4 linked regions of the Tamandua tetradactyla genome follow. The protein of the gene in region 1 interacts with the protein of each later gene in a pairwise test. Links are inferred from orthologs where the notes say so. Each region holds a gene or a part of one and is shown in the gene's direction. Other genes may lie near its edges.

Region 1 (7,181 bases):
AGTGTCCCCCTCCCAGGGAACTCCTCCTCCCTCAAGACATTCCTGAAATGCATTCCAAAGGAGTTGGGCAATTAGGGGGGAGGGTGAGATGGAGGATAAGAGGTCAAATCCCAGGAAGGAATGGAATGTAAGTGTATTGGGGGAAGGAATTTGGGGTACATGGAGAATACAGTCTGTGTAGATAACCACAAAGGGAGCCGCAGAAAGATAGGGGGTTACAGAAAGGGACAAAGGGGAAGAGAAAACTGAAGGCAGAGCCAGAAAGTAAGAGGGTTGGGGGAGTAATACTCAGTCTGTTACCAAATTTGGCCTCTGAGTCCACAACTGTGGTGGTGGTGGTGGGGGGGGGTTGTGGGTGAGACTGACATATCCGGCCTCAAGCTGCCGGAGGCTCTTTTAGAGCTGGACTGGGCAGCTGAAGGGCTGGGCCTGACCTCCCCAATACACATCCTCCCCGCATACACCCCTATCCCATGCACACTTCTCTTCCCCAAACACACCCCCATCACAGAGCTCTTTCTCACAAAGCTACCTCCATGGCGTCTCTTTGTATATCTGTTATCTCAGTCACCGAGCCCTGACTCAGATGCCACTGCAGCCATTTGATCTTTCCATAAAGACTCCATCCAATGCAAGCAACTTCCCCTCTAAATACACCCCATCTCAAGCACACAGCCCCCCTCCTCCCAACATCCTTTTTTCCTTTAGGTATACATTTTCCTTCATTCACCCAGTAAGCATTCTTCATTCACTCAGTAAGCATCCCCAATGTGGGGAAGGCCGAGGGCCAAAACTTTCAGTGGGTGGGAAGGGAGATGAGTAAGACAACAGCTTTGCCCTCTAGGAGCTCCCAGTCAAGAGGATGGATAAGTCAAGTACAGAATTACAATAAAGAGCAGGCTGTGATAAGAGCCATCTGATTAGGTTAGGGAAGGTGGATAGGAAAAGTCCCCATGAAAAAGTTGTCCTTTGAAGTTAGATTAAAAAATAATAATGATAATAAAAAATGATAACGATCTGTCATTTATTAACTATATGTTAACTGCTTTGTATACAAAATTTCATTTGATCCTTACATGTAACAACCCTGCAAGGCAGGCATCATCTCCATTTTGACAGATTATTAAACTGAGGTTCAAAGTGAAGTACTTGTTCAAAGAGCACTTGTCCAGAGTCACACAGCTAATAACTTGTAGAGCCATGATCTGAACCCAGGCTTTCTCCACTAGGCCACTGGAGATGGGTCAGGGGTAGCATTCCAGGCAGAAGGAAGAGCATATGCAAAAGTGGAGAAGCAGGAAATTGTGGAGGAGCATTCGGGGAAGTGAGCAGGTAGGCTGGTTGAAGCATGGGTGCCCGCAAGGGAGCAGTGGTGGGGAAGTTAGGGTTAGGATGGAAAGGCAGGGGAGGACAAGAGAGGATAATGAGGAGTTTTACATTCTGGAGGTTAACAGGAGGCCAGGGGAGGCTTTTGAGTAGAGAAGAGATACGATCAGGACTGGATTTTTAGGAACATAACTCTGGCAATTACCTAGGAGATTGGTTAGAGAGACACCATATTAGCAAATGTAAGTGATAATAAAGCCAAGATTAGAATGGTGGAGAGGAGGATGTCACTTTAAAGAAAGTTTAAGAGGTAGAACTGACAGGACCTGACAACAGTCTGTCCTGTCAATCTTATCAGACAAGGACTCACGGTTAGGCTGGAATTCCATAGCTTCCTGTCATTGGTAGTAGCATGAGATTAGGTAAGAAAATGGGAAGACGGAGGACAGATCAGGCTGGGCTGGGAATATGAGGATGAGGCTGTGGTTAGGGTGTATGGTTAGGCGGTGGGAAAAATGGATACGTGGTTAGTAGGCAGGTAGGGGCAGATGGGGTGTGGTCAGTGAATGCATCAATATGGGGAGGGAGAAGACTAGTGGTGATGACAATAGTAGGAAATATGAATATATGATCAGTCACTGGATCAGGCTGGGGCAAGGGGAGGAATGAATATGTGGGCAGTAGATGTCAGACTCAGAGAGAAAGATGGAGTGAGGTCAGAGGCCAGATCAGGCTAGAGAGGGTAGGGAAGAAATAAGGCTGTGGTTAGTGGCCAAATTAGGCTGGAGATGAGGGTGAAGGGACACTGGCTGTGGCTAAGAAAAGCTGGAGTTTGGGGGTGGAGTGTGGGGTATAGCCAGTGGCAGGGTCAGGCTGGGTATGGCATAGGGTTGTGGTCAGTGGCCGTGTCAGGCTGGGTGTGAAATGGGGGTGTGGTCAGTGGCCTGGCTGGGCGTGGGATCAGCAAGACCCAGTTTCCTCTTTGGGTCTCATTTCCTCTTTTCTGTTTGGGGAGTGGGGGAAGGGGATCTGCAAATGGACCAAGAAATTCAAGGAGGCTAAGAATTAAAGGATGGCACACAGCAGGGACTGGGGTGTTCAGCAGTTGCGTTGTGCTGAAAAAGGGTGGTATAGATGGAGTGGGTGAGAATGGGAGAAGAGTGCTTTAAAATGATGGGAAAGCTCAAGTTTTGGGGTGAGGGTAAAGTAAGGTCAGATGTGTGGATTAAGAAGGGGAGAGGGAAGCAGAATTAAGGTTGGGAACTTAAGTAAAATGAATAATAAGAGAGGGTTAAAGGCAAGGGAAGTATTCGTGTGAGGGAATGAAATGCAGGGCCAGGAATGACAGTTGGAGAGATTTAAAAAACATTTAGAGAATGAGAGGACAGTGAGAGGCAATGGGGTGAACTTTTGGGGGATTCAGCCATTCTCTTCACCAGGGCAACAGTGTTTCCTTGGCCGGCTTCTCCCTTAGTCACTAATCCCTTCTCCCTTAGTAGTCCCCCATTTATGATTTGGCTTTATACATTTCTTGGGCCTCTATCCCCACTCTACCTCCCTTCTTTTAAACAAAAGAGTCTAGGAACTCCAGTCCTCCAACTTTTAATGACCACAATACGAGCCCTGGTCTTAGAGGATGGGATAGAGATGCTGGAATCCTAGACACCTGCACTTCCAACTGAAGCCCAGAACTCTAGCTTGAATTTAGCCCAAGAAGCTCCCTGTGACTACAAAGGAATGAGACCTCTGCCCAAAACAAGGGCACCTACCTACCAAGAACTTCTTAAATTTCACCAGAACAAGTTCAACTACCCTGACCTCAACCATAACCGTAAAGTTGCCCCTAATTCCTAACATTAACCCCAACCCTAATTTATTTTTGATCCCCAGTACTGGCTTTGACATTCATCTCTTTCACAGCAGAGATGGTAACCCAATCCCTGATCTATAATACCGATCTGATTTTTACCTTTGGGAACCCCCTCAACCTTAACCCTAAATGTTGATCCCTAAACCTAAAGCTCATGTGTAACTTGATTCCTGACCCACTCCTTCACTGCTTATTCCTCATACCTAACCACGCCAACGATCTTTAATCCCTAAAATGTAGGTCTAACCTAATTCCCATTTGTTGACCCCTTAACTCTTAACTCTGACGTCTGCTAGCCATCCTAAAAAACAAAACCATGATCTTAATCTAAACCTTGCCTACAAACCGGACCTGACACATTAATAACTCTAAGTCTTAACTCCTAAAGCTAACCTTGAATCCTAAACCCTATGCCACTTAATACCAAACTCACCCAAAGCTTTCCTATCCACATAGCCGCTATCAACTAACCCCAAAGCCTATCCGCGCCCCGAGCTTCACTGCCAACCAAGTCCTCCCCCTCCCCCAAGCCCATCTCAGGAAAAGGACTGCTCCCAGGAAGGGCTTGGCTCCAGCAAACAGCCTACTTAGTTCTGAATCCAATGCGACATTCACTAACTGGAAGCTGACCTCTCCAAGAGGATCCGAAACAGGAGACGCAGGAAGAGTCAGCGGCCCCGCCCGCGCGCCAGCCCGCCTCCCAGGTCCAGCCTCGCGGCCCCACCCCGCCGTTCCCGCTCGGCCCCGTCCGGCCTACCTGCGCTGCCCGGCTCTGTGCCCCGCCCGCCGGCCCGCTACCCCGCTCTTTCTCCCGGTCGTTCTCGGGCTCCGGCCTCGCCCTCCCGCCGAGAGACACTCTCTCGATCACTTCCGTCCCCGGAAAGTCCCCCACCCGCGGGCGGCGCCCTGAGCCCGCGCTCTATGGTTGCGGGGACTGCAGGAAGCTGCTCTGGCGCCAGCTCTCGATGCTCGGCAGCCCGCCGAAGACGCGCAGCCCCTCCCCGGCAGGAAGCAAGGGTGCGGCGCGGTCGGACGAAAACGTCCGAACCGTGCCCAAGTTCCCTTTTAGTCTCTAACCCTTCCTTTTCTCGTTTTGGGCGAAGGCGGAGCCGGATCCCTAGAATCCCCGCCCCGTGGGTGTGAGGTGGCCAGCAGGAACGTCCGCTCTAGTTTGCATAGCCCCAGGGACGTGGCGCGGCCCCAAGGCCACTTCTGCATTGGGAGGAACTTCATGTCCCAGAATGCCATGAGGGCTATAAGCGTCACTTCTGTTGTGTTGGAAGCTGAAGAGAATCGGCTCTGGGAGGCGCGTCAGACTCTAGAGGGGAAAGCCCGGCGGAAAAGAAACCCTACGATATTTGGGGGAGGCATACTGGGCTGGAGGTTATTCCTGGGGCACGGGATTTGGGGCTGGGTAGATGGTCGAACCCCCCGTGGAAACCGATATGGACCTGGCGCTGGGCCCCGGTGACCAGGACCTGCTGGACTTCCTGCTAGAGGAAAGCGGAGATTTGGGGGCGGCGTCCGAGGAGGCCGCCGTGGAGGTTCCGGAGGAATGGGAGCTGCCACTCGCTGAGGTGGGTGAGAGTTCTGTGTCGGGGAGGCGCGGGCCGGAGGGGGAGGGGGGCATTCGTGAAGCAGAGATTTAGTAATCAGTCACAGCCCATTAATTTGAACCCTGTGCAGGTACTGAGCGAATGGGAGGTGGAGGATTTCCTGACCTCCCTGCTGAGCCCCCCACCATCGTTGAACGTTCTCAGCTTCTCCAACCTCTGTCCCGTTTACCATGATCACACCTACTCCCTCCCACAGGAATATAGCTCTGTAGATCTCGGTGAGTCTGAAATAAATGAAATTTGAGAGAGGAGAGGGCTCATGGACCTGGCTATTCTTACTTTCTTGTTTGCAGATAGTGGGAGCTGTGGAAAGAAGGGGCCCCAGATGACTCCATTGCAGGTGGAGGAGCAGGCAGAGCAGGTACTTGACTTATGGGAGGATTAATCCCAAATTGTATGGGGGGGGCAGGATTCCCCATTTTCTGACATCTTCATGCAACTCTGCTGCCCACCACCCCATAACCCCAGGAGATTGGTAGTCTGATACTGACCGATGAGGAGAAGAGGCTATTGGAGAAGGAGGGGTTTACTCTGCCTGGGACTCTTCCTCTCACTAAGGTAAGAGTCCTATAGGGAGCAAAGGCTTGTGGGGAGGGGACACTGTATGAGTGCCAAGCAGGTCAATCCTGTTAATTGTATTATCAGTAACTTGTAAAGGAACTGAGGTAAGAAATTTAGCAAATTTGTTGCTTGCAGGAAGCTGGGGCATGTAGTTAATATGCTAGAAATAAAAGCAGATGCTGATTTTGTGGGGTCTGAAGCTTATACAAATTTTGATGTTCTTTTTAAGAAAAAAATTCAAAATTATCAGTGCAACATTAGTATAAGGTCTCAGCAAAGACTGTGCCAAGTGAGGGGCCCTGAAACTTAGATATCTATGGCTTTATGGTAATCCACCTCTTGCTGAATGGTAGAATTGAGCTTTAGAATTTGACAAGGCTGAACTCAACAGTTTAACGAAAATAAATGTAAATTCTTGATTTTTAAGTTACAGGCAATGAGTGATAATTTCACAAGCACAACACTGTGATACAGTGATAAAATCAATGTTCATTGACAGAAAGATTAAGGGAATTTTAACTTCTTAAAAAAGTACAAGATGAGTCATTAACATGAAGTGGCTACTGAAAAATGAATGGGATCTGGAGACTCTATTGATAGGGGTGTTGCTCTCCTTAATTAGTGAAAGCATTTCTTAGTGTCCCGTTTGGAACCCAGATCATTGACAGTTATTAACAGGATGGAGTCCACCCTGAGGAGAGCAGGATGATGAAGAATTACACATTTTGAGCAAGTTTTACTTTTGTTTTTAACTCTGAGGAAGATTGTGAAGAAATGTCAAGTGCCAAATAGCTAAACATGGTTTATTCTACATGGTCCCAGATATCAGACACTAAAGCCCAATGGATAGAAATTAGGAGGCAGATGTTGGCTCAGGATAAGAAAGATTTTAAACTTGATCTGGGTTTGTGGGAGTATTAACATCTGACACTTGGAAGCATTCAGACAGAAGTCTAGTGCTTGTTGGTCAGGGACACTTTGGAAAAGGTTTCCTACATTGGGAAGAAGATTGAACTCATTTACTCTCTAACTCTATGGTTCCATGTTTCTCTGATGTTCCTTTCCTCTCTTCTCCCAGGTGGAGGAACAAGCTCTGAAACGAGTGCGGAGGAAGATTCGAAACAAAAAGTCTGCTCAAGAGAGTCGTAGAAAGAAGAAGATGTACGTGGGGGGTCTAGAAAGCAGGTATGAAGGGGAAAGGGACTCTGAGAGGAGTTGGGGGAGGAGAGATAGTTGGCTTTTGAAGGGAAGATACAGGCCATATGCTTGTCTTATTCCCCTAGGGTGCTGAAATGCACAGCCCAGAATCTGGAGCTAAAGAACAAAGTACAGCTCTTGGAGGAACAGAATCTGTAAGCAACCCTCCAGTATCAGTCCCTCCTCTCCTTCCCATTTAATGCTGTCTTTCCCCTGCGCCACACTTGATTTCTCACTGGGCAGCTCCCACATGTGAGGCTGGTACTTGGACTTCTCTTGGCTCTGATTCCAAGAAGCTTGCAGTAATGGGGAAATAAATTCAGAGTAACTAAGGATAAATAAGTACCAAGTAAGAGAAAGGAGGAAAGCAAGAAAGACCTCATGGGGCAGATGGCATTTAATAGGGAGTAGTATTCTGGGAGTAGTGAAAGCATTCTAGGCAGAGAGAATAAAACATAGTCCGGTTTGATTGGAACCGTAAAATGGTAGAGTTGGGACCAGAAGGTAGAGTGCAGGGAATGCCTGGTGAATATGATCTGCCTAGTTGATAGGGCATTAAAAAAAAACACTATAGGTATTTGCAAAGGAGTATAAGTCAGAGCAAGGCAGAG
Region 2 (7,936 bases), on another chromosome or scaffold:
AACACTCGCAAATATAAAGTTTATAAAAGTGTCTCATGTGACTGTGGGAACACAGAGTCCTAAATCCATAGGGCAGGCTGTGAAACCGACAATTCCAATGGAGGGTCTGGATGAACTCCACAGGAGAGGCTCGCCAACCGAAGCAGGAAGAGAGCCTGTCTCTTCTGAATCCTCCTTAAAAGGCTTCCAGTGATTAGATTAAGCATCACTCATTGCAGAAAACACTCCCTTTTGGCTGATTACAAATGGAATCAACTGTGGATGCAGCTGATGTGATCATGATTTAATTCTATGAAATGTCCTCATTGCAACAGACAGGCCAGCACTTGCCCAACTAGACAAACAGGTACCACCACTTGGCCAAGTTAACGCATGAACCTGACCATGACACCTACCTTTGCACTTTTACCTGAAAGGGGAAAAAACTATTTTGATTAAGACAGTCTTGTTTTTGGCTTTCTGTCACTCACAGATTAAATTATTTCTAAGTAACAGTCTACTTTGCTGCAAGTCATCATTACCATCCTAATCAGAGTTATCGGTATTTTTTTGTCTTGACTTTCAAAAGAGTCTATTCACTGATACCCCCACATTCACTCCTGTCCTTCCTGACCTTCCCATCAGTTTTCTACAGAATAACCAAAGTGATTGATTCAAAAGGCAAACTGATCTCCACTCTTCTTCTTCAACCCTCTTAGAGGCTTTTTTTATTACTTTTAGGGCGAGTTGAGTTCATTAAAATGGCAAGACTCCAGCAGAGTCTGGGTCCTACCTCTCTCTCCCTCTTCGTACCAGTCCCCTCCTCACCATCCAGGCTTTAGTGACATTGGCCTTCCAATTTCTTGGGTTTGCTGTGGTTTCTCCCACCTCAATGCCTTTGCATGTGTTACAGCTTTTTTATATATTTATACAAATAAAAGTTTATTGTGCAAAATTAAGGCTGCCTGTCATTTTCAAATTCAACAAAGCAATGTCATGTCTTCGAGGTACCAAATGGACTTCCTTAAAACCACGTAACTGATTAAACAGCATGAAGAACATCATCCTATTAGTCTCTTCTGGTAAGTTATTAAGGACTAAAATAGAATTTGGAGGATAATCAGGAACCTGAGGATTTGGTGTTGTATTTCCTTGGGTGTTGGTTGAATTTGGTGTTCCCAGACCAGACTTTCTGTTTGCAGTTGTTGCAGTCTGTTCCACAGTTTTGGCTTTTTTCTTTTCTTTGTCAGTAAATGTGCCATGTATTTTAGATATTGTATCAGAATCTGATTTTGCATACTGGATTTGCATTGGTTTACCATAAAATGGAAATCCTTGTAACTGTCTCCAGGCGTTTGTGGATGAGCCCAGTTCCTTAAGTATATGGAAGACCTGCCCCCTCGTCCTCATAGTCTTCAAAGCTACCATATCTACCACATGGCCAAACTGAGAAAACAGGGCATACAGGGATCCTTCAATTCTTCTGTTTAAATTTTGTCATTCATATTGTTGATATAAATTGGGTGTGATTGGGACTGATATCCATGTTTTCATTTAAATTGTCCAAATAACCTGAGGCCTGCACAGTCTCCTGGCATGTGTTGTAGCTTTTGTTCTAAGTGCTATTCTGTCCTCCTGTCCCTTTGCATGATAAACTATCAGATCTCAGCTCAACTAACTTTTCTTCGGAGAAGACTTCCCTGATCTACCTCACCAAGGCAACTAGTTCTCCCATTATATATTCTCATAGATCCATGAATCTCCATTTAATAGCTCTTACTATAATTTTGTCTTTACATTTTCATCAACATTCTTTGGTTAATGCCAGTCTTTTCTATTAGATAATAAGCTCCATGAGAACAGGGAAATGCCATTGCCTTAGTTTGTTAGGGCTGCTGTAACAAAGTATGAAAAATTGGAGGACTTAAAACAGAAATTTATTGTCTCACAGTTCCATTTGTTTATGACCCTATTTCCAAATAAGGTCATATTTATAGGGGAGACTCCTTCCAACCTTCTGGTGGTTTCCTGGCAATCCTTGCTCTTCAATGTCTATCTCAGTTGTCACATGACATTCTTCTCTCTGTGTGTGTCTGGGTATCCTCGCCCCTTCTTATAAAGACACCAGTCATAGTGGATTAATGGCCTGCCCTACTCCAGGGTGGCATCATTTGAAGTGAACAAATTCCATTTGTTTATGACCCTATTTCCAAATAAGGTCATATTTATAGGTATGGGGGTTAGGACATCAACATACATTTTTTAGGGGAAACACAGTTCAACTTACAACAACTTTTGCTTATTATTGTTTCCCTAGTGCCTATTCCAGTGTCTGGCATATATCTGATACTTGGATATTTCCTGAATTAATAAATGAGAAATAAGTGGGAGTCAGATCATGTAGAGGTGGGTATGCCCTTCATTCTCAAGGAAATATAGTGTGACATGCAAAGGTTTTCAGCTGTGTTGTCAGATAATTGTTTTAGTTTGTCAAAGCTGCTGGAATGCAATATACCACAAATGGAGCGGCTTTTAAAAAGTGATTTTATTAAGTTGCAAGTTTGCTGTTCTAAGGCCATGAAAATGTCTAAATTAAGGCACCAACGAAAGGTTACCTTCACTCAAGAAAGGCTGATACCATCTGGCACACCTCTGTCAGCTGTAAGGCACGTGGTGCTGTCTTCTAGCTTTTCTTCCTCATTTCATAGCTTCCTTCCCCAGGGGTATTTTCCTTTTGCATGTCCAAAGATCTTTGGTTGTGTGGGCTCTGTCAGCACTAAAGCTTTTTCCAAAATGGTTCCATCTTAAAGGACTCCTGTAAGCAACCTCACCTTGAATGGGTGGAGATATACCTCCATGGAAACCATCTAATCAAAACTTACCATCCATAATTGGGTGGGACACATCTTCATAGAAATAATAAAAAGATCCCACCCAGCAATATTGAATGAGGATTAAAGAACATGGCTTTTCTGGGGTACACGACAGTTTCAAGCCAGCACAATAATGTATTATGGAAAATCATTTTTTGCCAGCAGTGTGCAGAATGCTTTAGAAAGAATCTATGTCGGAAGTAGGGTGACAAGTTACAAGTGGGAAATGACAAGGACTTGAGTTAGGGTTGTATCAGTTCCTATTCTTTCTGAGAATTCTTCAGATTGGATCTCAGTTTTTCATATTGCTGGTTTGGAATTTGGTTTTCATGGCCTGGTTGGCGCATTGTCTTTGTCCATCTTTTTCCATCTTCCAGTGTGTTGCTGCTGTAATTTTGTTTCCTGCTCTTGTTTTTGTTGATTAAAAAAACAAAAACAAAAATGCTTTGCTATAGTTTTAGTGGAATTTTGGAAGGGTGCAAAATTAGGTGCAGGTATTTAATATACCACTTAAGCCTGGAAATCTCTACATTTTATGTTATGAAATTCTTTATTGTTTTATTATAATAAAATTGCCTTTCAAATTGGCCACATTTTTGTTAAGTGACAATAGCAAATGAGGGCAAAATTTTGGATGAAAGGTGGAGACTGCAAATTAGTTTTGAAGGGCAGTATTTCTCCAGAATTTTTAATATGTGCATAGTTTTTGAATCCTAGGAATTTATAGTAAGGAAATAATTTAGCTTTAAGGATGCTAATTACAGTGTTGTTTATAACAATGAAAAAAATTGGCCAACAATTGAGAGTTGATTTAATCAACTATAGTACTTTCACAAGCTAGATACGTAATCACTAAAAATGCTATAGAATCCAAGTGATGTGACGGTGGCTCAGTGGCAGAATTCTCGCCTGCCATGCCAGATACCTGGGTTGGATTCCTGGTTCCTGTCCATGCAAAGAAAAAGAAAAAAAAAAAAGGGAAATGTTATAGAACGAAAGCTTCTTACATAGTGCAACTCTACTGAATACATGATCATTTTCTAAGGAGCGTGTGAAGCCACAGAACAAACTTAGCTCATCTTACTACCCCACCATCAATTTTATTGGTCACTTGGGAGTGTGGCTGACATTACTAGTTGCCTATCCTGAGGTTCATTCTCCCTTTCTTCCTTGGTAATAAAATCCCTCTTTGTAGATTTTGCTGATCAGAATAAAAGACATTTCCTGGTCTCTGTGTGACTTTGGGATTGAACTGAAACCAATGAGATGTCAGTGAAAGTTTCATGAGGGACTTCTAGAAGGCTACCTAGATGCAGCTGACTCAACCCAGATAAGGGGATGGTTGAACATTTCTCTTGTAAATTACTATACTTAAAAGCTTCTGCTTGGTTAAAAATTATCCATAAAAATATATGGATAGATAGACAGATATATAAAAATTAGAGTGAAAACGAATACAAAAAATGTTCAAATATCTGACTAATTCTAATTTGAGGGATGTAGGGGGAGGAGAAAAAGAGGGAGGAAAGTTGATTTATTTTTGTGATTCTCTTGGATACGAAATGCTGTTTTTCCTCTATCATTAAATCAATCTGAAAAGGTCGACAACCCTTATATAAGTTGCTTGTGGTAGAAACTCCTTTTGTTTGTTTCTTTGTTTTGTATAGTGCCTATTAGTAAGTCTTCCAGATAACACAAGAACAGGTGTGGGGTTATCTTACTTTGTAGAATCCCGGATGCTGACCCGACTCCTCCTCCCAAATTTGCCTGGAATCTAATATGCAGGATTTAAAATCGGTGCACTTGGATTTCGGACTGTGCCGGGGCAGACTAGCCGAGAACTCACTTGCTGAATATCAAACCCGGGAGTCCCCGGCAGGACAAGTAGGGGCTCTGCCCCCCTGCCCGGGCAGGAGCTTGCGAACCAACGAAAGGGGCGTGGCGTAGCGAACCAAAGAGAGGGGCGTGGCGTAGCGAACCCGACGAGAGGGGCGTGGCGTACCCTTTAGGCGACGTCCTGATTGGTCTGCCTGCTCCGAAGGGCTGACCCCGAGTCTAGCCTACAAGAACTCCAGGCTAGCACCGAGCTACAAAATTTGTCCTCTCCGGGGCACCGTCGCGCCTGTGTCCCGGGCCCAATGGGCTGGGCTGGACGCTGGAGTCCGGCTCAGCGAAGGAGAGGAGCCTGATGGCCGCGGTATTTCTGGTGACGCTCTATGAGTACTCCCCGCTTTTCTACATCGCGGTGGTCTTTACCTGCTTCATCGTGACCACCGGCCTGGTATTGGGATGGTAAGTATTCCGGGGCTAGGGGTAAGAGGCGGACAGCCGCGGGATGAAGGAGCGGTGGGCTGCAGGGTCACTGGACGGGGGCGTTGGGGGCAGTGGGGAGCCAGCGCCGACGGCTTCGACCGGCCCCGGGAAGAAAACGAGGTGGGCACGGCTCCTGCGTCACTGCCCTGCACCACGGTGCCTATCCCGTCGCGGGGGGCGTCTGGACCGGGTGAATTGGGGTGTTTTACCTAGCTTTGTTTCCAGGTGATACAGCGCCAGAAAGGGGCTAGTGCGAGTACTGCGTTAGGATGCTTGTCCAACAGGCTGCTTTCCAATGGACGCCTACTGTGTGCGCGGGATAACTCAGTCAAGGGTACAGGGCACTGTCTTACTTGGCCTCACATCTACCGAATACTCCACATTTTGAAATGTGATTTAGTCGCTGGAACTATAGAATCCTAATTTTAGTGCTGGAAGATAGCTGAGAGATTGGTTGCATTAGGGAATAGAGCTAGTTTACCCTTTGGAGACCAGGAGAACAGACAGTTAGATAATACCCCAGCAATTCTTCTAGAGATTCCAAAATTTCTTTCTTGAGATGCCCCTGTATCATTTTAGACAAACCTTATGAATACTGCTGGTGGAAACCATTTTTTTCTCCCACATAGTTTTTCTAGACCGCAGCCACCAAAGTTCCTTTGGAAATACGGTGTTTCCAAATAGGTCAACGGTAGCTCTAAATGGATCACATCTGTGGCCTGGGACATAAGAGAGAGAGCTCCAGTGAGTGGAGAGACTTGAGCTGGATTTTGAAGAATGAGTAGTTTGAAAAGTAAATGGAGAAGAGAAGGTAATTCAGAGAACACAGCATGAGCACGGGGGAAGAGGAGATACATGCTGATGAATAGAGTAGGCTGTGTAGAAGGAGTTAAAAAATACTCTTTGATCACATATATGTGGTTATTTAGAGAATGTGCAGACCGTTATCAGTTTCTGGAAATATATACAACCTTTAGGAACTAACCAGAGTATCACTATTTCTACATTGTCTCCCATCCCACCAGCAAAAGACTGTAAAATTCCTTGTTCGGCAGTGGGGGAGGGGTAAGGCCAGTCTTACACAATTTGTTACTCTTGACCCATCAAATTTTACTGCTGTTTTTCATTTTCAAGAAAGTTTGTAGTTGATGTTAAGACGTTGCCCAAGTGAGGGTAGGCCATGGTGGCTCAGCAGGCAGAGTTCTTACCTGCCATGCCAGAGACTCAGGTTCGATTCCCAGTGCCTGCCCATGCAAAAAATAAAATAAAATAAAAGCCACTCTAATTGGTGCTGACTTCGACAAAGTATATGGTTCCATGTACTAAAATTGGAACGATACAGAGGAGATTAGCATGGCCTCTGCACTCAAGGATGACATGCAAATTCGTGAAGCGTTCCATATTTTTCAACTTATTAAATTCCCCCTTTAAAAGCCAAAAAAAGAAGTTGCCCAAGTGAGAAAAGCAGTCTTAACACAGGATTTCTTTTTTTTTTTAATTAAAAAAAAAATTAACAACAAACAAACAAAACAGTAAGATATTCCATTCTACATATATAATCAGTTAATTCTTAATATCATCACATAGTTGCATATTCATCATTTCTTAGAACATTTGCATTAATTTAGAAAAAGAAATAAAGACAACAGAAAAAGAGATAAAACAATAACAGAAAAAAAAGTTATACATACCATACCCCTTACCCCTCACTTTCATTTACCACTAGCCTTTCAAACTAAATTTATTTTAACATTTGTTCCCCCTATTATTTATTTTTATTCCATATGTTCTACTCTTTTGTTGATATGGTATATAAAAGGAGCATCAGACACAAGATTTTCACATTCACAGAGACACATTGTGAAAGCTATATCATTGTTCAATCATCATCAAGAAATATGGCTACTGGAGCACAGCTCTACATTTTCAGGCAGTTCCCTCCAGCCTCTCCACTACATCTTGAACAACAAGGTGATATCTATACTTAATGCATAAGAATAACCTTCAGGATAATCTCTCAGCCATTGACAGTCTCATTTCACTCTTCCCCCTTTTGGTCGAGAAGGTTCTCTCAATCCCTTGATGTTAACTCTCAGCTCATTCTAGGGCTTTTCTCAGTCCCTTGACGCTGAGTCTCCATTCATTCCAAGATCTCTGTCCCACGTTGCCAGGAAGGTCCACACCCATGGGAGTCATGTCCCACGCAGAGAGGGGGAGGGTGGTGAGACTGCTCATCATGTTGGCTGGAGAGAGAGGCCACATCTGAGCAACGAAAGAGGCTCTCTTGGGGGTGACTCTTAGGCCTAAATTGTAAGTAGACTTGACCTATCCTTTTGGGGTTAAACAAACCCCAAGACTGGGGGCTCAGCCTGTAGCTTTGGTTGTCCACACTGCTTGATTAACACAGGATTTCTTAATGACTATAATGTTAATGTTATTTTCTTAAACAATTTTCTTGCACTAAGAACAGTAGGCAACTAGTTGATCATTCCATTATATGCTTAAAATTTTATTTTCAATGGGTCAGCTAATTAGATATCTGTCTTTAGTATTGGGAAAGGGAAATTGATTGAAGGCTGTACTGATAGTGGTGGGTGGAAAGTAGTTAGGTATCTCTTTTCTGGGACAGTTAAGAGACAGACCTTGAAGTCAAACAGACCAAGGTTCAAGTCCTGGCTCTGGCTCTGCTAGGCTTAAGACTTGGTTTGAAACTTTAATGATTGCCTAACTCCCTTATTTAGGTATGACTTATGCAAAGGTGGAATCCCAGG
Region 3 (6,951 bases), on another chromosome or scaffold:
TCTGTAGTTTAAAAAAATCTACAGGTGAATGCAATGCAGAGCAAAGTTTGGAAACCACAGCTTGACTCTAATGGAAGACAAATGGATTCTCATACCTGCCCTGTAGGTACCTGCTGCAATATCGCAAGTTATGTAGCCTGAGGAGAACACCATGTAAACTCGTGAAAAAAAATGTAAAACAATAAAAAACGCAAACAACATCTTAGTATTATTATGAAAATAGTTTTGAGTTCACAGACACAAATAAAATGTCTCAAGGACCCTAGGGAAACCCCAGCCCACACCTTGAGAGCCTCTGCCCTACATTATATTACCTTCCACTGACTGAATACCTGCTAACTATTAGAGATCTTACCTGCATAATCTCATTTAATTGTCATCACAACCCTCTGACGCAGTACAAATAGCTTCATGACACAGACACGACAACTGACACTCACAGCGGGTAACTTTTGGAGACCACAAAGGGAGGAAAATGTAGAACTAGGGTTTGAATCACGATCCCTCTGATCCCAAATCCTACTAAGACTGCTTGTTAGCCAACACAAAGAAAGAAACTAAGGCATGGGCTTTTATGTTTGTTATAATCTGCAAGGAGAAAGACCTAAGTGCATGTGTGAGGACAAGAAAACAAGGGGGATACTAGAAGAAAAACTAAATTTTTAATTTGCATTGGAGTAAGGCTCTGATAAAAAAATGTTCAGCAACCGAGTAGTTCTGATATATGGGGTCGGTGGTAATTTATGGGTGAGAGCCCTTTCACCAAATAGCCATTAGCTTCTAAGGCAGACAGAATTAAATATGTGTTTTCCCTATACAGACAGTTTAAGAGTCATTGGTTGCCGGGAGCTCAGGGGGAGGGAGGGAAGGAGACAAGGATGGTGAACAGGTGGGAGAACATTTTTAGGACATTGAAACTATTCTGTATGATACCGAAATGGTGAATATAATGACATGATGGCATTTGTCAAAACCCATAGAACTGCACAACAAAAAGAGTGAACCCTTATGCCAACTTTGGACTTTAGTAACGTATTGATACGTTTAGTCCTAACATATCAATATCAGGTCATCAATTATAACCAGTATGCCACACTAATGCAAGGTAATGCTAAAGGGAACTCTATGCAGCAGGGTGGGGGAAGCATGTAGGAACACTGTACTTTCTGTGCAATTTTTCTGAAAACTTAAAACTGCTTTAAAAATTAATGTCTATTAAAAAATAATACGGGGCAGGCCATGGTGGCTCAATGGCAGAGTTCTCGCCTGCCATGCCAGAGACCTCGGTTTGATTCCTGGTGCCTGCCCATGCAAAAAAAAAATAATAATAATAATAATAATAAATATGGGTTTTGCCATTTAAAACTGTGACTTGAGCAGATGCCTTTCTGTTTGGGAGCTTTCAATTCCTGGCATAAAAATGCAATAATGATACCTTCTTAATGCGTTTCCTGTGAGCCTAAAATGCAATATGTAAGGTGATGTTATCAGTGCCTAGAATGTAAAAGTCACTTAAGAAATAGTTGTTTTTTCTAGTTACAGTTGAGGTTCTTTTGCTTCCTAAACATCGCTCATACGCTGTATGACTGGACCAGTTACTTTCATTTCTTTAGTTTCAATAATACTAAAAAAGAAGTGATACTATAACTCTTTTAAGACTTTCATATGGACAGTAGGTATTCAACTAAAGTTATTTCCTAACTGTTAAGGATTTAAGGGAGTCCTTCAGAGAGCAGAAAGAAGAGTTCATGATCTATAAAGCTCTTAAGTACTTGCATGCACATTTTCCTTCATATGAATTATTTGCAAGTACAGCACTGGAATTGTTTGGCCTGCAACCAATTCTATTTGCAATTAGACGCAGTCTTACCACTCAGAGGCCCTGCATTCTCCCTTCCCAACTCTCTGAAACCAAAGTGTACCCTCCATCAGCAGGTCATTTTGGGTACGTGTGCTTTATTGAGCAGTTAGAGACAGACCAAAATGTTACTGCCTAATACTGGACAGCATGGATGGGAGAAGGAACCAAAGCAGAATCATTATCTCTGATAGCACTGTTTGAGAACAAAGAAATCAGAAAAACCTGCCCTGTTTCCCAACGATGTGGAGACCAATGGATGAGTAAGGCAATGACAAATAAACATAATTAGATAGACTATGTTGGTTTCCATAAGAGAGGAAAATGTTCCAAGGGGGAAAAAAACTTGGAATTCTAGGAGGGGAAATAAAAGGAAGAAATAGTTCTATCAGGCATATACTGACTACACAATAGTTGGCATATTTCTACGTAGACTTTCATAGAGACCACCACTTGGGAAAGAGAGGGTCACTAGATAATGGCAAATTCAATTCATATTAAATTCAAAGAGAAAAATGTTTAATGTGTTATGGACCTAATAGCCTCAAACATTACAGAGGAAACAAAAATCATAGAACAAAGAAGGAGCTATGACAAATCCAAATTTTAGTAGGAGTTACAACACACACAAACACAGAAGTTTTAAGGACTGAAAGGTCAATCAGTCAAAATCAGCAAAAAGAAAACAAAAGTTTATTAATATACCTATTTTGGGATAAATCTTACATAGACCCACCTAAAGAATCTTGCTGGCCACAAAGACGAGTCAGCAACCAAAGGCTGACTGGAGGGAAACAAGGCTGAACAGAGAAAAAGATCTGAACCAACAGGTTGTAAGATCCCAACTCATGCCTCATCCATGCCATGCATTTGCTAAGCTCTGACCCTGCCCACCTGCCCACTAAAAGGCAGGCCCATGCCTTTGATCAACCCAACCCACCATCCGGGACTCACACTTCGGCCATCACAATCATCTATCACTCCGACCCTGTGGAGACACTCACAGATCCACACTTAGGCCACTTTAAGAGGACGGTGGGCCTTCTTTTTCCACCACCACCCCATTCTCTCCACAGCATTTCCGAGAGGTGTTTTCATGGGTTTTACTTGACTGTTCCTGAAGACGGTGAGTTGTCTGTCTGAAGCGTAGCCTCTTCCACCAGTGAACAGCTCCTAATGGGGCAGAGATGGCATATTTTTTTATGTTGCAACAAAATCAGCCTCCCCAGAACCAGAACTTCTTATACCCATTGGTTCTAATCCTGTGGTTCCAAACTGTTTCAAAGAAAAGAGAGGCAAGAAGGAGAAAGGGAAAGAGAGAATGAGAGAGAGCACTTGAGAAAAAGAAAGATGAATTTACCTCAGATTAGAGCCCTATTTTAGGCAAATAATTACCTAATTATGGCCCTGGATCTCTTCAAAATAAAGCAATGGATAAGGAAAATTAAAGAGATGAAAAAAAAAATCCAGCATATGAAGGGTTACATTTGCAAGGATGAGGGGAATAGCAATGTCTTTGGGCAAAACTTTCTTTAAATATATCGACTCCCCAGACTACTACTACCCCGCTCCCCACCTGCCTTGAGCTAGCACTGCGTTTGATTGCCATAGGGCACCAACTGAGGCAGAAAAGAATAGGGACACCAAAGAACTAGACAGAGGGAAAGGATGGGTAATAAGTAAAGGTACCATTTCAATTTATGTCCCAAAAGGTGGAGGCAAGCTCTTGGCTCAAACTTCTGGGTAGATGTTCTACAACCCCCACGTGTATTTTGGGGCCATTTCTGCTAAATCCATCGTAAGATATACATGGTCCCACTAGAATCCAAATAAGTGTGAACAAATGAGGGTAATATTTGGAGGTCAAAAGGTACAACACCCCCAAATGTATGTGCTCATTGAGTCTTAAGTCTATCCGCATGGATGCCTCCTCCCCACGTACTCACCCAAAAAGTGAAATAAGGTAAAAATCAGCCCTATCAACTCATCTATGGGGAATTTGTAGCACCCTTCTTGCCCTTGGGGACCCACCATCCACACCTGTTTACAGGGTGGGGGCTGCAAAGTTCTTCTAATTAAGGCAGCACGATACTTGTCAGGCTGTCCCCTGGGGTCTTTTTCAAGAACTGAAACCTCCTGGTAATGCAGAAACTTTTTTGTATCTCCTTCGGCCCTGGTAAGTGTGTGTTCAACCAAAGTAATTGGGGTGAAGCCCAAGGTAACAGAAGCTCCTGATTTCCCGTCACCTGGTATCTATCAGAGATCCCAGCCCCAGGTCTGGCCTATCTCATTTGCCCTCCCCACGTCTTGAGAATCTGACAGCACCAACTGATCTCTGCATCCAGCTTCCAGATCAGCCCTCGAGCCCTGAGGCCTTGGAGTAGCAGGTAAGGAATGAATTTGTTTCCTTTAAATGAAATGGATGAGGCATAATTAGGTTGTTCAGAGCCTTTCGATGCTCAGCTTTCATCCTGGGGTTTCTCTGGTCAGGTTTTGCTGATGGTTTCATGATTTGAAGGGTGATACCAAGACTCATTGCCCACCCACTCCTTTAACCACTCTCTCCCTCAAGAATTTCCCTGGGCGGCCTACCAAGCATCACTCTACAAAGGTAGTAGATGATGGCAGGTCATTAAAGGACGGCTTCTAACCTGCTGTGTTCGGACTTCAGCTCCACTGCTTATTAGCCATACAATCATAGACAAATTACTAAACCTCTAGGTGCCTAATCCAAACAATGGGGGAAATAAATGTACTATGAAGGTTACATGAACTAAAATCCTGCCATTCTGAGAACTACCTGGTACCAAATAGGAAAGTAATTAGTCATGGTTATAATGAAAATATCTCCACTGCATAACTTTTGTTTTAAAGGCCTTTAAACATTTTCTAGAGGGATCGGTACCAAACTAAGCACATTAGCCTACCTCTGATTGATCGCATAAGAAGCTTAGAAAGTGAGTAAGCAATGGAGATAAGAAGTTCTTTTGAAAGGCAACAAAGACGGATTTTAACTGTATCACAACCATTTCCTGAATCCATGATTCCCCTTCCCTGTTTCCCATACAATTGCTTGCTTGCACTGACCACCAGGTGAGGTGAAATTACCTCCTTTTGACCTGGCACCCTGAGCATTTGCAAACCTGCCCCCGTGAAAGTAATTCAATTTAATGTTCCATTGAAGGTGTTCTGAGCTCATAGCATGTACTCCTGGGAAACAAGGTGCTTGGAAGAAGTCACACTCCTTTAGAGGAGCTAAGATATGACAAAAGGAAGAAAACAGTTGACAAATAGAGGACGTAAAGAGCTTTGAGCTTTGAAGTAGAAGTTCTCAAAATCAAGGGAAGAAAACAGGTCTAGGCACTATATGGAGGTCTCAGGTGATGGGAATGACAAATGGGGAGACTGAAACTGATGGGGGTGGAGGGGAGGAGTCTGTCAAATTTCAGAGGCATCAGAGTAGAGAAGACTCTGCAATGGCTTTGTGTAATGGGGTGGGAGAGCAGTGGCTATGAGCTTGGAAAGTTATGGTAGAATTGAACTGTGACTGTGTTGAGTGGCTAGGTAAGATGTTTCTCCAGTAGGAACGGCAGGTCACTGACAGTTCAGACTCAGGAAGAGCATGACTGGAGCAGTACTTTATGGAGGTTGATCTTAGCTGTCACGTGGAAGATGGATTCGAAAAGAGAGAAACTGAAAGCAGAAGAATAAGACTTGTGTGCTAAGAATGAGGAAATGAGAATCAAACTCACAGGGTGATGCTAGAAGTGGAAATAAACATCCAGGTGCAAGGTACATTGCAGAGGTGGACATGGCATGACTTGGCAATTGGTTGAACTTGGAAGATGAAGGAGCTGGAGTGAAATAACGTTCCAACTTTTTAAGTCCAGGTAATGAACAGAGTAGAAGTAAGTCAATCTGAGGGGTGATGCTTGAGAAAGTACTATATCGTCTTTGCACAGGAAGGCTTGAGGACAGTGGTTCTAGTTAAGTGGTTCCAGCAGAAATTATGAGCAAAGTGTGCAAGACTGGAGTGGGTGGTGGAGAAGTGGAGGAAGAGAGTAGAATGCTAAGCTCTGAAGAAACTGGGATTAAAGGAGAGGGGAGACGGGGCAGTGGCCAAGGACTTGGCTTGATTAAAGGAAGTGGGCTTTGGAATTGGGGACACTACAGCACATGTTAGTCACAGAAGAAGGATCCAGTAGTCACAATTAGTCTTTATGATCCTTCAGTACTTTATAACTTGCAGATTCTCTCATGTTCTTAAAATAATGCCATGAAATGGGTAAGGCAAATATTCTCCTAAATTTCTAGTAGCAAACAAAACAGCGTTGGGATTAGCTCTTTCTGCTACATCACACCACAAATAGAGTAAGAGACTCAAGATGCAAGGAAGGAGCAATTTCTTTGAAGGAATAAATTCATGATGGAAGGAGAGGTGCTGAGGAGCTCACACAGAGGGGCAAAGGAGGCTGGAAAGATAAATATGCAGTTATTTTGAGTGGTGAGGGGGGAATCTGAGGTAAAAAAAAAAAAAAAAAAAAAAGATACGACAGCTTTGAACTTCTCACTAAATGATGGGAATGACTGGACCTAAAAGGCATCATTCAAATCACCACCATCAAGGCTGTAAGCTCTTTCTTCAGTGAGTGGACATGAAACAGTGGTGCCTTTAAAAGCTCAAAACTGGTTTAAACATATAAAAGAGCATGGAGAGTACCTACTGTTAAAAAAGAAATAGTACAATCATAAAAAAAAGTGCTATCATTAATAGTAACAAACGTTCCACACCAATGCAAGTTGGTGGTGGGGTAGTGTACAGGAATCCTGTACTTTATGCATGATTGTTTTGCAATCTTATAACTTCTCTAATAAATTTTTTAAGAGAAAAAAACTGGTTTAAAAAGTTGTTGTGGAGTAGTGAAACAGGGCAATGTGTGATAAACTGAATCCTGATATTAATATAGTTGAGCATAAACGAAATCGTATTGTTACCATAGTTTGACCGACGTGGTCAAGAATGTCTACTTCTCTCCCAACTAGTCTTCCAGCCAAGTGTATATTGGTGACCGGTGAAGTCATTATGAGCATTT
Region 4 (7,756 bases), on another chromosome or scaffold:
TCCTGATACTGCAGCACCATTTGTTGAATTTTTATTTTTGTTTGTTTTTGTTTTGGGGAAGTGCCTGGGTGGGGAATTGAACCCAGACCTCCCACATGGCAGGTGAGAACTCTACCACTGAACTACCCTCACACCCCAGTATCCTTATGGTTTTAACCTGTATTTGCCTAATGACCTGTGAGGCTGCATACATTTACATATGCTTAATTGCCATTGTTCTCTCTTTTTTGGTGAACTGTCAGTTCAAAATTTTTTTCATTTGCTTGTTTGTCTTTGAATCAAATTGAATGAATTCTTTGTACATTCTAGATACAATTCCTTTGCCAGATATATGTTTTAAAAATTTTTTCTTCCCAGTCTGTGGGTTGTGTCTTTCTTATATTTTATAACAGTATCTTTTGAACAGCACAATCTTTAAATTTTGACAAAGCCCAATTTATTGCATTTTTTCCTTTCTTTACATGCTTCTTGTATTGTATTTAAGAAATCTTCACTAAACCTAGGGTCACTAAAATTTTCTTTTATGATTTGGCCCATAAGTTTTATAGGTTTAGGTTTAGCTCTTTCATTTATGACAATGATCCGTTTCTGAGTTGGGTCTGGAAAGATGAATCTGAGTCTGGCAGAAGCAGAGAAAGGACATTCTAGGCAGGTGGAGCCACCTGAGCAAAAGGCCCAGCGGGGTACCCGGCTTTTGCCAAGTGTGGCAGAGGGTTCTCTGCGGCTGGCACACATGGTGGGAGGGAGCAGGTGTGGTGAGCTCTCTCCCGCTGGAGAGGTGGGCAGGGCCAGGTCGCCAAGGCCCAGGTGTGCCAGGCTCAGGAGCTTGCACTTTATCTCAAAGGCACTGGGGAAACACTGAAGTACGTCACCTGTGCAGTCACCACCTTTGCCTAATCTGCAAAATGCGGGCAATTTGGAGGAGTTATCAAGGTAAAGAATGGAAAATTGTTTGGTCAGGGCCAGCTTTCTTCTGGGTAAGGATTCAGCTCCCCCAGCTCCCCCCAGCTCCCCCCATCTCCCATAAGTAGTGTGTTGAGAAGAATTCAGTGTTTTGCACTCCTGTCTGTGTATGTTTTTTTTTTTTTAATGATTTGAGCTTGTCTACTTGCTGAGGAAGGCCGCAGATCTCCTCGGGAGCCCCCTGCCCTGCTGAGTCAAGGGCATAGCCTCTCTGGGCCTGTGGAGGGTGGGGCATGGATGCAGTCAGGACACCCTCTGTGATCTTGTTTATCTGAGACATCCCTTACAGAGGATACTCAAGCCAGAGACTGCCTACCACACACACACACACACACACACACACACACACACACACACACACACACACACACACACACACACACACAACTACCCACCCACCCTCACCCCTGCACCTCCAGCCTCAGCTATGGCCTTGCCTTTGTTTTTCACCATTAGAATCTTTGGAGCCACAGCCTTGGCCCCCTCCCTGCAGCCCAAACAACTTCTGTTTTTCAGGCGGTGCCGCGGAGTGCTGAGTCGAGATTTCCACATTTCCCTTGTGGAGTTGAGTTTTCTGCTGTGTCATGGTTGGGAGGGGGAACTTGTGGAGACAAAGGGAAGGAGGATTTTGCTGAGTCACAGCTGCTTCCTCAGCCTCTCTGGGTGGTCGGTGAAAGGGCAGCTTTAACAGCAGGCAAGAGGAAATGAAACTTCTAGAAACAGGCAGAAACCTCTTATTTCCAAGTCTTTACACTTTTACAAAGCCCTGTACATCTCAAAATTAACATTCCAAAACTAAACCGCTGAGCTTCCCCCAAACCTGCTCTTCCCCATCTCAGTAAATTGTCAACTCCATCTTCCCAGTTGCTTGAATCCAAAATTTGGAAGTTATTCTGGACTCCTCTTTCTCTCTCACAACCCACATCCTATCTGTCTGAAAATCTTGGTGACGCCATCTTTATAATATGTAGGTCTAAAGCCACTTCTCACTCACTCCTGACTCCGCCATCATCCTCTCTCACCTGGACTATTGTAGTAGGTAGCCGTCTACCATTGGCCTTCTCTCCTCTCTTCTGCCCTCAGTGACCAGCAGTAATCCCATGAAAATGTATGTCAGATCCTATCAAGTCTCTGCTCAAAACTCTGCAGTCCCACCATCTCACAAGAGGTCCTGGCAATGCAAGGCCCTATGGGCGCCTCCACGTATACAGGGCCCTGTCCCCCCATCTCTCCCCTGCCCCATCCCCTCACCCTTTCTGCTCCGGGCCCACTGACCTCTTTGCAGCATCTTGTCCATGCCAGGCATGTTCTGCCTTGGGACCTTTGTCCCACTTCTCTCTCTCTCCCCCCAGATGTCCAAAAGGCTGCTGTTACAGATGGAATCTTGTCTTCCACAAAGACATGTTCAACCTCTGGACCTGTGGGCATGAACCCATTTGTAAACAGGCTCTTTGAAGATGTTATTAGTTAAGGGGAGTTTGGCCCAAAATGAGTCAGGGTGGGCCTGAATCCAGTAAGACCGGAGTCCTTGAAAGCAGGGAAAATTTGACAAAGTCAGGAGGAAATATCTGGGAAGACAGACGGCCATGGGACAGAGCAGAGACTGAGTTACAGACTGCCAGCAAGCTATCACAAGAACACTACAGACTTTGGAAAAAAGTACTTGGGACTTCTAGCTTCCAAATCTGAGACAATAAATTCCTATTGTTTAAGCCAACCAATCCATGGTACTTTGTTACAGTGGCCTTAGCAAACTAAGACCCCTCCTTCTCTCCCTCACCCCCACCCTGGGAAGCCCACCCTAACTACTTGATTTAAAATTGTAACCCATCCCTCCAAGCACTCCTGATCACCCTTACCCTACCCTGTTTTTTCCATAGTACTCAACACCTTCTAACATACTACATAATTCACATCTCTATTGTGTCTATTGCTTATTGTTTAATTCTCCTGCCAGAATATAAACTCCGCAAGGGCAAGTATCTTGTTTTGTTCAGTCGTGTATCTCCAGCCCCTAAAAGAGTGCCTGACATATAGTAAGTGCTCAATAAATAGATGTGCCCTGGCAGCCTGGTCTGTTTGCTGTACTATTCAAATCTGGATTAAACATCAGACTTTCTGTGTTTAGTTCTCTAGCTCAATCTCTCTGCCTCAGCTTTCTCATCTATAAAATAGGGATAGTAACAGTAGCAGCCTTATGGGGTTATTGTGAGGATAAGTGAGTTCATATGCATAAGTCTTAGAATGGTATCTGGCACACAGCAGGTGCTCAATGATTATTATCATTATCATTTTCCATAGAAGCAGAAGTGGTTATTTGCTCACAGATCCTGCACAGGGGCTCAAGGCCTCAGGGCCCAAGAAAAGAGAGGGATGTACTGCCTTGATCAGTTCTCCCAAACCACCTGGCTCCTTGGTACAGCCCATCTTTCTAGAAGGTTCAGCGGCCTCCATGTTGCTGGACTGATTTGGTGACTGAAGCTCAGGGAAGTATCCCTGGAAGAGGAGGGAGGGATCATGGGCTGGAACTCTGGCTTCTTTTGATTACAGGGACCCACTGTCTACCCAAACCTGCCCCATTCTCCCAGACTATCTGCTGGCATCAGAGACTCCCAGATGTGTGTGGCTGGAGCGGACTGCCAGAATCAGCCATGCCAGCCTCCCTGCTGGAGAATGCCTGCTTGACCAATCTGTACTTGCATTTCTTCAAGGGTGGTACCTGCCACCTCCATTTTCAAACAACACCTTTGTCATGAGCCAAAGTCACCTCCTTTTATGAGTTAGAATCCCGAATTGTGGCTTTGGGAAAGGACTTTAAGAATCAGCCAGTTCATCTGTCTGGTCAGTGATCCTTTTCTAGCTCTCGGTCCTAATTCATGGAGAATTAACTCAAAGTGGGTGCCGTCTCCATTCCTTGCCCTGGCAAGGGCACTGGGGATAAGAGGTGAGTCAGACCCGGGTATTGACCTGCCAGAGCACCCCAAGTATGCAAGCAGACAGGCAGTATGCATGCCAAGCATCGCAGTGGACTCTGGACCAAGAGAGAAGGGAACCTGGGGGCCCAGGCTAAGAGGTTGCAGTCACTCCTGGTCTGGATCCAGGATTCCTGCTTACCTGTGCGGTCCCACCCCATGCGTGCCTCTACGTAAAATGGGAGCCTCTACAGTCATAGGACTGTGGTAGGGATGAACCAGGAAAACGGTACAGACTCTAGCGTTTCGTAACTGCCCAAGACACAGGTCCTACGTACACATTTAAAGGGATTGTAAGAAAGCAGGCTTTACCCGGCGGCGACATTTTAGGATGCAGGTCCCCAAAGCAAGGGAGGTGGAGACCGTAATTCTCTGATGTTGCTTCTAAGCGCTGCCCCGTTCCCCTCCCCCCACCCCCTCCCAGAACTCTGGAACCTTCGAGATTCCTGGGAATGCGTGAAGTACCATCACTGGGGTGGGGGGGGTGAGGGGTGGGGTGGGAGGGGTGGGTACGGGTATCTGGAAAGGGCAAAATCGCACTCAGAGCCGAGCAGCTGCTCAGAGATTTCCTGAAGAGTGCTTTCTTTTTTAAACACATCCGGTGGCCCAGCTTTGTTTTCCAAGGGTCATATGACGGCTCCGGCGCCCCCCCTCGCCCACCCTTCCACCGCGAGCCAGGACCGGGACGGGCGCGGACCCAGCGCGGGTGTTGCAACGTCGGGCCAGAAAAGCGCGGATCAGCTGTTTCGCCGGCGGGCCCACGTGACCCGTCCGGAGCATAAATCGGACGGCGCGGTCGGGGCCCTGCACACTCGCTCACCCCTTCCGCAGGATTGGAGACGCGTCGGTAGGCGCCGCCCGCGCAGCGCAGCCAGCACCGAGCTACCCGAGCGCCACCCGCCCGATGGAGCGCCCGCAGCCGGGCAGGCAAGCGCGGGACGGCGGGAGGGGCTCCCTTTGCTGGCGCGGGACTGCCGAGCGCCCCCTGCCCTCTCCCTTTAGGTTTTCAACAGGCGCTCGGCGGAAACCTAGCCAGCTCCGGCGGCGGGTGGCGGGGTCGGGTCAGGGAGGGCTGGGGTTCAAATCTTGCCGGTGTCACTTCCTAGCAGGGCCGGTGGGGTGGCTTCGAGGGCCGGCTTCAAGACAAGGAGTCTCTGTGGAGAGTGGGGGTCCGGCTTTCCAGGGTGTTGGGAGGGACTCCCTGATTAATCCAAGATCCTTGGGGCTACCCAAGCCTGGGTGAGAAGCTCTTGGTTTTCACCCACGTGGTGTTTGCCCTCTTCTCCTGCTGTTGAGCATCTGAGTTAAGACATCACTTTCGCAGAGGGGCAAAACCGACGCTCCCTCCCCATCCCCGGTAGCAGGTGGGGGATCTGGGATTGAAAGCTGCTCTATACATCTGCAGGTCTCTGCTTATTTCCTTCTCCCAAGCTGTGAAGAGTTTAACCAGCATGTGTAGAAGGGAGGTTGATGTTGTGGGGTGCAGATTCTAGGGGTGGGGCAGATATGGACACATGGCAGAATTACTCCCGGAAAGGAACCTTTCCATGATTTACTCAGTTCTCAATCTTTTTAACCCAAACACTTGTATTACGATAAATGTTACAGTGATAACATTATAGAAAGTTCCTGAAATGTATATCTGAAACTTTGACAAAATGAATGAATTAGACATTGGGTCGAAAAGCCAGGCAAAGCAATTGAACTGTGGGCCATGAGTGTGGTCACACTACCCGCTGCTGCTTCTCTGTGCCGTCCTCTCTCCTTCATGGGGAATCACAGGTGACAGGAGCTCTGCCCTTGGCTGGTGTTTAGGGGCTGCCTGTGAGGGCGGTCGGGAATGTGGCCTGGGTGTTAGGGAAGCCAGTTGCATGGGAAGAAGCCTGCCGTCCCCTTGTTCACCCTCCCTTCCTTCCCTTTGCAGCATGCCCCAGGATTTGTCAGAGGCCTTGAAGGATGCCACCAAGGAGGTGCATCAGCAGGCGGAGAATGCGGAGTTCATGAAAAACTTTCAGAAGGGCCAGGTGACCCCAGAAGGCTTTAAGGTATGTGGCCTCGGGGGGCCAGCCCTGGTGTGGGGTGTGGTAGGTGTGTGCAGTCAGATCAGTTTAAGTGAGGATTAGGGCCAGGGACCAGGTGGGCATGTCTAAGGGAGTCATCTTACAGGTGGCTGCAGTGAGGCTCAGAGAGGGGAAGCAACTCACCCAAGGTCACACAGCAAGCCTATGGTCTGCTAGGCAGTGTTGTGGAGGGGCTGGCACAACAGTGTCAACAGTGTAGTACCTATTCTGTGCTGGGCATGTAACACACATGACTTCTAACCTTTGCCTTGGCCCTGATGATGAAGATGGGAAAGAGAAGGCTCAGAGAGGCTAAGTAACAGAAGATCACACCACCAGTAATGAAGTAGAAAGGTTCAGAGTTAAACCAAGTCCGGTCTCCTTGCAGAGCTTATGCTCGTGGTCTGATTCTCTTTGCCTTTGGAGGAAAGAGGTATGGGCTCGAACCCTAGCATGACCATTTCCTAACAGGGAGATTTACTTTGCACGTCATCTAACCTCGCTGAGCCTCCTTTCCTCAACTATGAGGAAAACCCTCACCAGCAGTGTTTTCTTAAGCACCTGCTATATGCTAGGCACTGACTTTTGCGATCTCCTAGCACTGTGGTGAAACTTCATGTAAAGAGAAGGAAAAACACCAGGTAGTTGTTGGGTATTTGGGGGGGGGGGGGGGGAATGGGAAGGGGTGGGTAGTGGTTCATGGGCCGGGAATCGAACCCTGTCTCCTGGATGGCAGGTGAGCATTCTACCACTGAACCGCCTGTGCACCCAGGTATTGAGTGTTAAAACACCAGTGTGGCAAAAGGCTTGGTTGGATTGAACAGAGAGTCGGGGCGCTGTATTCCACCACTCCTGCCCCCTCTCTCTTGTCCTTCCCCACCCCTGTCTTCTGCTTCCACCATGTGTGGTGCTTCAGACAAGGGAGCTCCATCATCCAGTTTGGGGGCAGCAGGATGTGTCTCTTGGGTGATGGGTCTGTTTCTCCCTCCTCCTTATCCTCTTCCTCCCTCCCTCAAGAAAGCTGATGTGCACCTGCTTTTGTGCAGTGGGGTTGAGGGTGGAGAGGGAAGGGACCACTGGGGTCACATAGACTTTGGGCCTTGCCTCTAAGCTGTCAAGTTGAAAATGGGCATAAAGTCCTATGAGGAACCTTGCACTCACTATAGTCACGTTAGATTATGATGGTGGAGGAGGCACTTGGCATGGCCTCTCTGTTTGGGTCCTAAGTGCTGGGCTGTGCCCTGTGCTTTCCCTGTATCATCTTGCTTGACTGTCATACCAGCCCCGTTTAATTCGGAGTCTGGTTATGCCCCTTCACATGGGAGGGGACTGAGGCCTGACATGCACAGTGTCACACAGACCTTGGATCAGCTCGTTCACTGCAGGGCAGGGAAGCTGAGCCCAGAGAGGGCAAGTGGCTCGCCTGCTGTCACACAGGCAAGGACTGGCTGAGCCCAGGTTGGAAATGGGCCTCTCAGACTCAAAAACCCAGGTTTTCTTGCCCCAGGCTACCTTGCTTTCTGCCTTCTTGAGGAATGGGGCTGCTACGAATGTTTGTGGCTCAGAAATAACATGGAAACCTCAACAGTAACATCTCAACTTTGTCTTCCTTCAAACTCAAACTAGAGCTATTAATGTGTAATGGGAGGTTCCCCAGCCAAGTGCCTGGGATATGTCTCCTGGGCTGGCATCCAGTGGTGGTCAGAGTCAGGATGGACCTCCTGGAAAGAGAATCATGCTTTGCAGATGGCAGGTCCCTCA

Evidence for each region.
Region 2: the proteins of CREB3 (region 1) and CGRRF1 interact in a two-hybrid assay, tested with the Homo sapiens proteins (2 studies listed by BioGRID and IntAct). The two-hybrid records come from large-scale screens. The link is inferred for Tamandua tetradactyla from reciprocal best matches to the Homo sapiens genes CREB3 and CGRRF1.
Region 3: the proteins of CREB3 (region 1) and MS4A1 interact in a two-hybrid assay, tested with the Homo sapiens proteins (2 studies listed by BioGRID and IntAct). The two-hybrid records come from large-scale screens. The link is inferred for Tamandua tetradactyla from reciprocal best matches to the Homo sapiens genes CREB3 and MS4A1.
Region 4: the proteins of CREB3 (region 1) and HMOX1 interact in a two-hybrid assay, tested with the Homo sapiens proteins (2 studies listed by BioGRID and IntAct). The two-hybrid records come from large-scale screens. The link is inferred for Tamandua tetradactyla from reciprocal best matches to the Homo sapiens genes CREB3 and HMOX1.

Annotation. Positions count from the first base shown.
Region 1 is NC_135328.1:60,057,217-60,064,397, reverse strand, and holds the start of CREB3 (cyclic AMP-responsive element-binding protein 3), read left to right. Parts: upstream 1-4,173; 5' UTR 4,174-4,614; coding exon 4,615-4,773; intron 4,774-4,858; coding exon 4,859-5,030; intron 5,031-5,105; coding exon 5,106-5,173; intron 5,174-5,280; coding exon 5,281-5,370; intron 5,371-6,451; coding exon 6,452-6,558; intron 6,559-6,656; coding exon 6,657-6,725; intron 6,726-7,181. UniProt on the Homo sapiens protein: Endoplasmic reticulum (ER)-bound sequence-specific transcription factor that directly binds DNA and activates transcription. Plays a role in the unfolded protein response (UPR), promoting cell survival versus ER stress-induced apoptotic cell death.
Region 2 is NC_135338.1:11,779,101-11,787,036, reverse strand, and holds the start of CGRRF1 (cell growth regulator with RING finger domain protein 1), read left to right. Parts: upstream 1-4,929; 5' UTR 4,930-5,040; coding exon 5,041-5,144; intron 5,145-6,470; exon of another isoform or gene 6,471-6,572; intron 6,573-7,936. UniProt on the Homo sapiens protein: Able to inhibit growth in several cell lines.
Region 3 is NC_135335.1:14,563,972-14,570,922, reverse strand, and holds the start of MS4A1 (B-lymphocyte antigen CD20), read left to right. Parts: upstream 1-3,936; 5' UTR 3,937-4,245; intron 4,246-5,442; 5' UTR 5,443-5,748; intron 5,749-6,951. UniProt on the Homo sapiens protein: B-lymphocyte-specific membrane protein that plays a role in the regulation of cellular calcium influx necessary for the development, differentiation, and activation of B-lymphocytes.
Region 4 is NC_135333.1:27,750,071-27,757,826, forward strand, and holds the start of HMOX1 (heme oxygenase 1), read left to right. Parts: upstream 1-4,740; 5' UTR 4,741-4,839; coding exon 4,840-4,862; intron 4,863-5,859; coding exon 5,860-5,980; intron 5,981-7,756.